Rattus norvegicus: one gene and its partner. The protein of the gene in region 1 purifies or fractionates together with the protein of each later gene. This does not show direct contact. Links are inferred from orthologs where the notes say so. Each region holds a gene or a part of one and is shown in the gene's direction. Other genes may lie near its edges.

Region 1 (3,617 bases):
GGTGGGAAGATAGGCCTAGAGGCCAGGGTAGGCAGAGTGCATAGCCCATGAATGAGCTTGCAGCTGATGCTCCTTTCCTTAGTAGCTAACTATATCCTGGTCTGTGCCTGGGAGCTCCATAGTGGCCCAGTTTTGTATTGATATTTCCAAAATGGTCAGTAATTGCTCAAAGTAGCTTGAGAAATCAAAGTTCTATGGAGTACACTGGCCTGGAACTTCACCTTCACTTCCTTCTGAATAACCCAAGTGCTTGACATTTTCCCTAGGGAACTGCTGAGGATGGAGGCAAGTTGGATGTTGGGAGTCCTGAAATGAAGTTAGAGGAGAACAAGATCCTGAAGACTGATCTGAAGAAGCTAAAAGATGAGCTGGCCAGCACCAAGAAAAGTGAGGATGGCTGTCCTGATACACCCAGAAGCTCCACTATCCATTTATGCCCCATGGATCAAGTATTATTAGTACACTTCATGTGAAAGCACACAAATAGCACTCCACACCTTCAACCCAAATGGAATCAAACAAGTTCATGGCTAGAGCATCTCAGTGATTCGAGTAGGCCTTGGAGAAACCCTAACAGCTACTGGGCATGCTTTAGTAGTGCTCACTAGGGGTTTCCCATTAAGACAGGCAGGCATGGGGGATGCCCAAGATGCCTTGGAACCAAGAACAAAAAAGTGTGGAGAAGAATTTGTGTGATCATTCTCCCTTTCTCCCTTATTTTTTCCTCCTCACTCCTAGATTAATTCCAGATTTATTCAGCACTGTAGGTGTTGGCCAGTGTCACTAGGGGTCTTGATGCTGGGATTTTGCTTATTGCCTCTCACTGCCCACCAGTTAAAAGGTAACCCCTTCTGGGAACGGTTAGTGTCCCTCCATTTAAAGGACTAAGGGGGCTGGTGCTCTGATTTTTTTATTCCATCTAGCTGTTGGGTTATCCCTTCCTTACAACTTTCCTCTAGAGGTTTATAAAGACAGAAACATTGACAAACTTTGGAACCTTATCTGTATAACCATTTTTGCGACAGGTTTAAAGCAGGTTCCCATGTTTTAAGCAGGTAGCCCCCCCCCCCCTTAGGTAATCCTTTGATTTCTTCCTGTATTCATTTGTATTGTTAGAACTTGAGAAAGCTGAAAACGAGGCTCTGGCTATGCAGAAGCAGTCTGAGGGCCTTACCAAAGAATATGACCGTCTGCTAGAAGAGCACGCCAAGCTGCAGGTCAGTGTTTCCCTATCTGTAGGTGGCAGGTTAGGGTTAGGGCCCTACACAGTTCCTAGAGGTACTAAGGAGCCTATTGCCTCCTTTGTTGCTGAGTGTAGGCTTAGAGCAGACCCAGCTGTCAGAACCCTTCTTGTAGGAGATGTGGCATGGTACTTACTAGATGATGGGCTAGAACCTGCAAGGTTCAAGGGCAGCCCTTGTCAGTAGATCTACTCTCTGCTCCGAGTCTTTCCTACCATAAATCTAGTCTCAAGCCCCTAAAGAGGGGTTAACATTCTAGGACATCCCAGCTGTGGTGTGCTGTTTCATTAGGAACGTACATGGGGAAGCTGGGTATGGTAGCCATACCTGAAGTGCTAGTACTTTAGGAAGCTGAGGCTGGAGAGTTGAGAAAACTCCAGGTCAGCCTAGGCTACATACTAAGACACTGCTTCAAAAAAAAAACCCTCAACATTGTAGAGACCTACTTTTGTCCACCTCTCCTGTGGAATGGGGCAGGGGGAAGGGTAATATTTAGCGAAGTCTGAAGTAAGTGAAGAGAAAGCCTCAAAGGTCACCTTACCTGGTAAGTACTATTTGTTGATCTGAGTTTTCAGGCTAGGCTCACAACTCCAGATAAGGCTGGAAGTTCAGATGGTCAGGAAGATTTGTTTGGTTTACATCAGGTAATAGGAAGGGCCCATCCCCACAGGGAGTGCGTGAGCCCTCAGAATATACTAAGCTATCTGGGCAGGACTTGGGGGTTGGGTCTCTGTATCTATTCACATGTTTGTATTTGTATAGTGGACACTAGAGGATAACCTTGGATATCACTCTTCAAGAGCTATCCATTTTATTTATGAGACCGAATATCTCATTTGCCTAGAGCTTACCAAGCAGACTTGCTACCTAGCTATAGGACTCTAACATGCCTCTCCAGCTCTGAGATTACAAGTATGCCTTACTACTTGTAGAGTCTGGCCTCCTATGTATCTTAGGATTGAACCCAGATCCTCATGCTTTTATGGCAGATGCTATCTCCTAACCCCCAAGGATTTGGGTTTTAATGGAAGGTATACAGTTGTGAAAAGGCCCTACATTGGGACTTAAAGACTAGCCCAAGTGTGCTCTGGAGGAGGTCTTAGTTCTGATCCCATTGTAGTAGACTCCTCCAACTGCCAGTCCTCCCCTGGCATTAGGCCCAGGGTCTTCCCTAGTGGGTGGGATAGGCTGGCAAGCTTTAGGGTGCTATTGGGGCTAGGGCACCTTGCTTGCCTAGGTACTTGTTATTAACAGGAGTGGGGAACCAAGTGCTTGGGGACATAGTACTAGAGGCCAAAGGGGTGGGCCCAGGTCCTGCTAACTTCGTTCTTTGGGGTTTCTTTCCTTTTCCAGGCCTCAGTACGTGGTCCCTCAGACAAGAAGGAGGAGTAAAGACTTGGTTTTTCCCTGCCTGTAGCTGGCTTATACTTGACCCATGCTTACTGCTTCCTTGGAGCCCAGCCTGTCCCTCTGGTACTTGGTTTATTCCCTTCCATTTCCCCAATTTTCTTCCATGGCTTATAGATCATTTTGGCCCCATTACACATACTACTCTTATACCAAAAAGGACCTGATTGTTGTTCATTCACAGTAATTTTGCCACTGTTCTGCCTGGCCAGGGCACTTTCCACTCCTAGAAGTGTAGAAAAGCACTGGTGACCTGGGCTGCACTTGTACTCCATTTTATTTTGCCATGTATCCTAAAAGAGGCTGCTGTTAAGCAGGTCAACTGTTTTATCCTGAGGGGAATAAATGTTGTTATGTTACAAGGTGTTTGTGTCTAACTGAGGCTTTGAGGATGATTCTGCTGTTCCTCTCTCAAAGTTAGTGTCCAGAAAGACTGCAGAGGCTCAGTCTTTACTTTTCTTGAGCTTGTCTTAGTCCCTGAAGACCAAACTCACATTTGCCCTCAAAGCTCCTGCTCTCTGCCTCTGCCCTACCTCTTCCTTTCAGTCAGGAAAACTCTGCTTTATGACTCTTAGGGAGTGTCTGTCTTGTCAGTCTCCCTGGGAGTTGGCAACTATCTGGGAAGCCTGGTAAACCAGCAGGACTTCCTGGTGCCTTCTCTTACTTCTTATTCATCACATTCAGGACAGATAGAATGTGGCAGAGTGCCACCAGTCACTCCCTGCCCAACCCCCTCCTGAAGGTTTACAGCATGACCTCTGACTAATGCTGACTGGGGAAAGGAGACTGTCCTTGGCAGTGACCTAGAGCTTGCTACTGCAGAACAAGGCAGTGGAGAGGGGCTTCAAGGCAGTAGAGAAAGGACTGCAGAGTGCTTGGGTCTTTACTACCCACCAACCCTGAAGAGTTACTAGATGTGGTTTTGCCTCTGCACTGGCTTACTTTGCTGACAGGTCTCATGCCCTCACT
Region 2 (4,250 bases), on another chromosome or scaffold:
ACTTCTTGGAAATGGTCCTACATTATATTTTAGTTGGTTGGTGTAAAATAAAATATTCATATGTTGCATGTGAACTAAGCTGATTAGTATCCTAATACAAAGAATTTACCTTAGAAATATTTCTGAGTAACAATTACAATCGGAAAATGTTTCCTTGTGGTTAAAAAGAAAGAAACAATGAAAATAGTTTGGAATGCCTTGAGCAATGTTTATTTCCCCAAAAGCAGGTCCTCCTGGAGAGACTAAGGGAAAGGGAACTTATTTCTGTCCAAGTCCTACTGAGTTCAGGACCTTCCTGATTTTCTGGGAGGATCACTGATGTGGCTATCACTAATGTAATGGTTTTGGAGTTAATTACCATTGTTGAAAAGACCTAGAAGGGCTTTTAAAATAAGTAAATAAGTTTAGTTTTCTGTTTTTTAAAATAAGTAAATAAGTTCCCCCCACTCCTGTTTTAGACATGTGTAATTTATATATGGTATTGACTTCCTGTCAAAAGGGTAGGGGAGTGCCAGCTGGGGGAGGGACTCCAGCGCTGTGTCTAGTGCTGTTCCTTATTTAGGACTTAAATTTACAGTATGGTGAAGGATAAGAGAAAGTCTTTGCCATGTCAGGGTCTTGTGACACCGAAGTTATTTCAGGTTAAAGAAATCATTTGATGCTTCTAATTTTAATGTAGCAATTTCCTTTGCCTGTTAGATGAACCACCCCCATCCCCCTGCAGATGCCAGTGAAGCGAAATGCATGGGGCTCATTATTTGGGGCCACACATTTATTCCCAGACCTTAATCTGTGACATTTGTGTAAGAGGCTCTTTCCACTCATCTGTGGTTAAGGAAAACTACTCAGAAGGTTACTTTGGACCACTGCAATTTTCGTTCCAAGTTATTATCAGGATGTAGGGCCGCTTTGTTTAGGAAATACGCGAGTTAATGTGAAGTCGGGTCTAAAGGAAGAACCTAAGGTTAGGATGGAGTTTGCCCTGGCCCTAAAGCTTCCTCTTTAATTGGGTGCTCAGATCGCTGATCGCACCTCCCCAGCTACCAGTGACCCCACCCGCTGACTCCTGCGCAGACTCAGAAAAGCGCCTCTCCACCCAACGCGCAGGGTAAAAGTGAAGGGCTCCTCCTTTAGCCAATCAACACCGCTCTCTGAACTGGAGGGAAAATGATTGGATTAATGGAGGGCGTCGGCTGAAGGCGGGAGCACAATACTGGCCAATCCCCGGAGGCCATCAGGTCCATGCCCAGTTTGAGGCACCACCCCAGCCCGGTCCTTGGGCGCGCGTCCCGGTGGGGCTGGGAATGTCCCGGGCGGAGGCAGCTCAGACCTGATCATTGCACTACCCTGCAAGGCTGTGTTGCAGGGCCCGGAAGGCTCACTGTTCCGAAATGGCCGAGCAGTCAGACAAGGATGTGAAGTACTACACTCTGGAGGAGATTCAGAAGCACAAAGACAGCAAGAGCACCTGGGTGATCCTACATCATAAGGTGTACGATCTGACCAAGTTTCTCGAAGAGGTGAGCTGGGCACGAACGCTCCAGTGGGGCGCGGGGAAGGGTGGCCCCCGCTGTGAGTACCCCAGGCATGACCTGGGACCGAGGTCCGAAAATGCGTCATCTGAGTGCTCAAGTATTTGCGAACATTTAGGAGGGCCTTCCGCGTCTGCACACTTGTGTTCGCCTCTGAGCATGCTCACCTGCTTGTGCACACCTGTGTCTGTGCTCCTGCGTGTCTTAGGTTCGCACATCTGGGCATGCCTCTGGGAGGTCGGGAAGCACCGTTGCCGTGTGAGCTGTTTTTGTAGGCTCCGATGGGCGGAGTATTTGGGAGCCAAAGCTGAATCCTGAAAAGGTGCTCAGGAGTGTCCTGAATAAATGCTACCCACTTGCTGGGAGAGTGCACAACCGCGTAAGGATTTTGAAAGATTCTTTTTTCTTTTGTTCTTTCTTTTGTTCTCATATGAGGTTCTTTCCATGTGGAATAAAAAACTCCTCCATTTTCGAATGGACTTCTAATATTAGCCAGTTGGAGGACCTCTGGTCTTAAAAGCTAATTCCCCCAGAGGGTTCCCTAGGGTTAGAAGTACGCGAAGTTGGGGGGTACTTCCAGGGCTACTCTGATGTCCAGAGCCTCAAGTTCACTAGTGTCCTCTCAATGGTGAGAGGGAAGGTGAAGAAATGTCATTGAGAGCCTGAAGAAATGTCGACCTTAATGGAGTAGTGACTTGTGTAAGAGCCCCAGCACCAGGTGAGTGGCCCAAAGACTCCCTAGTATGTGTCTTGGGCATTTACTAGGGAAAAGAAGTAGGCAGCAGGGTACAGTCAGAAAAATGGAACTTCATCTTTAAGCTACTTTGGAAGTTGTAAAATGGCTCAAGTTAGAGGAAAACATTGCCTCTGGCAATGCTGGTCTCAAGATTGCAGTTTTTGCTGCTGAGCCCATGGGCTTGTAGTCCTTCTCTTTATTCCTTCCAGATGCACTGTTACTCATAGTCACAAGACCTCTACACTCCGCTTCCTCCCAGTAAATAAGAGTGCTTATTGATGGAGGTGATTTGCACCTTTGTTATTTATTGGTGGGCTGGGCAAAAGTAGAGGGTCAGTGTTAAATTGTAATTTACCTCAAGAGACGTTTGTTTTGCAGAGAATGTTAAACACAGAAAAAACTTGAAAGTTTGGAGTTGAAGTTTCATGGTAAAATACTTGACTGTTAATGGTAAAAATAGGGCTCCAATTTAATAAGGAGTGGTTTGAAGTGGGGACTCAGATCTGCCACCCTTCTGCTGAGGCCAGAGCAGCTTCTAAACTAACAGTCCTGTATTGTGAAGCTGAGGGCCAGGTGATTGCCTCTTCATGTGAAACCGTCCCTCTGTCTGCCCGCCCTCCTACATTACATATGTAATTCTGGAATTTTATAACAAAATGCATCCCTTGACTTTGTGTTTATAATAAAGTGCAGCACTTGTAAAAAGAAAAGGACATACAGTAGCTCCTGTTAGGGAATTGCTGCCCCCCAAATAATTGTGTATGACTTTTCAAAATCAATCTTTGAAGTAGGTAACAGGGATGAGATTATTAACTTATACTCAAAAGTTCTCTTGTTTTATTCTCATGAGTCAGGGACGGCGTGAGAGGACCCCACAGACTTACTGAGCTCAGCTGCAGGGCTAACAAGAAGCTACTTAGTTGGGAAACAAGCTGGAAAACAAATTCCTTTGTTCTGCCTACGTGTTTGGTACCTTCTCTCTGAGAATGGCTTGGGAAGAATACTTCTTGAGCGAAATAGAGAAGCTCCCTGGGAACCAGTCATCTAGGACGGTGATGGAGAGGTCAGGGTTTTCAAGAAGCACAGAGAATGGTTGGGTCCTGTTGCTTTAAGGGTTGGAGGGACAGAGGACCTACCAACCTGCTTTTCTTACCCTGCTCCCACGGTGTGCGACTGTTCTTCTATGTTGAAATGGAGCATTTTCTGAGACCGTCAGGCCTCTCGGTATATCCAGGTCTGCCTGGTGCTGATGTATTTCTTTTCTTGCCATTTGACATTTCGTAGCTTGCTACACTCCTTAACACTGCTTGTTTCACACAGCATCTTTCTTGGTCATTGGCTTTCCTCCTCTAGCATGGATTGCCTTTAGGACCTCAGTGCACCAGCAGGCACTGTATGCTTCCCTGTGCCTGACTGCTTCCTGCAGTGTGGGTTACCACTTCCACACACACCTCAACATGTTGCCACAGTTCTTCTTTCTAGATTCCTTCAGCTTCAAAGGTCTAGGTCGTTTATCTCATGCTTTGTCTTAAAACAAATATTTTACAAGGCTCAGAGTGTCTGGCCCTGTGCCCCACTTTCTACGTCTCAAGGTCCCAGAAATTTCAGGAGGTACATGAGCCAAAGAATATGTCAATCCTTGTTAATTTACAAATGAAAAGGGTGGGAGGTGCATCCTTCTTACTTTTCTGGAACTTTCTGTCACCACAGAGCTGTGTCTCCACAGGCTCTGGGTTCATCCATCTAGGTGGCCATGCTTTCCTGAGGCTGCTCTGCCCTCCATCAAGAATCCTTCATTTCTGCTGAGGAAACGTATGCTGTGGTTTGTGGTTGGTTGGCCCCTCTCTGCCGCCTGCCTTCTCTGTGCCTTAGATTCCTCACAGAAATGGGAGACTTGCAGCGCCTGGTTGCAGCTGACATAGAATTAAAGCATTTGACTAGTGTAGTGTACATGCCTGTAATCTCAGCTTCTCCAAGACTCA

Evidence for each region. The genes of interacting proteins can lie anywhere in the genome.
Region 2: the proteins of Bcap31 (region 1) and Cyb5a purify together in Homo sapiens (co-immunoprecipitation; 4 studies listed by BioGRID and IntAct, with this or other methods). This does not show direct contact. The link is inferred for Rattus norvegicus from reciprocal best matches to the Homo sapiens genes BCAP31 and CYB5A.

Annotation. Positions count from the first base shown.
Region 1 is NC_086039.1:156,548,306-156,551,922, reverse strand, and holds the end of Bcap31 (B-cell receptor-associated protein 31), read left to right. Parts: intron 1-266; coding exon 267-387; intron 388-1,116; coding exon 1,117-1,217; coding exon of another isoform or gene 1,218-1,427; exon of another isoform or gene 1,428-2,594; coding exon 2,595-2,633; 3' UTR 2,634-3,012; downstream 3,013-3,617. UniProt on the Homo sapiens protein: Functions as a chaperone protein. Is one of the most abundant endoplasmic reticulum (ER) proteins.
Region 2 is NC_086036.1:80,486,689-80,490,938, forward strand, and holds the start of Cyb5a (cytochrome b5), read left to right. Parts: upstream 1-1,320; 5' UTR 1,321-1,391; coding exon 1,392-1,520; intron 1,521-4,250.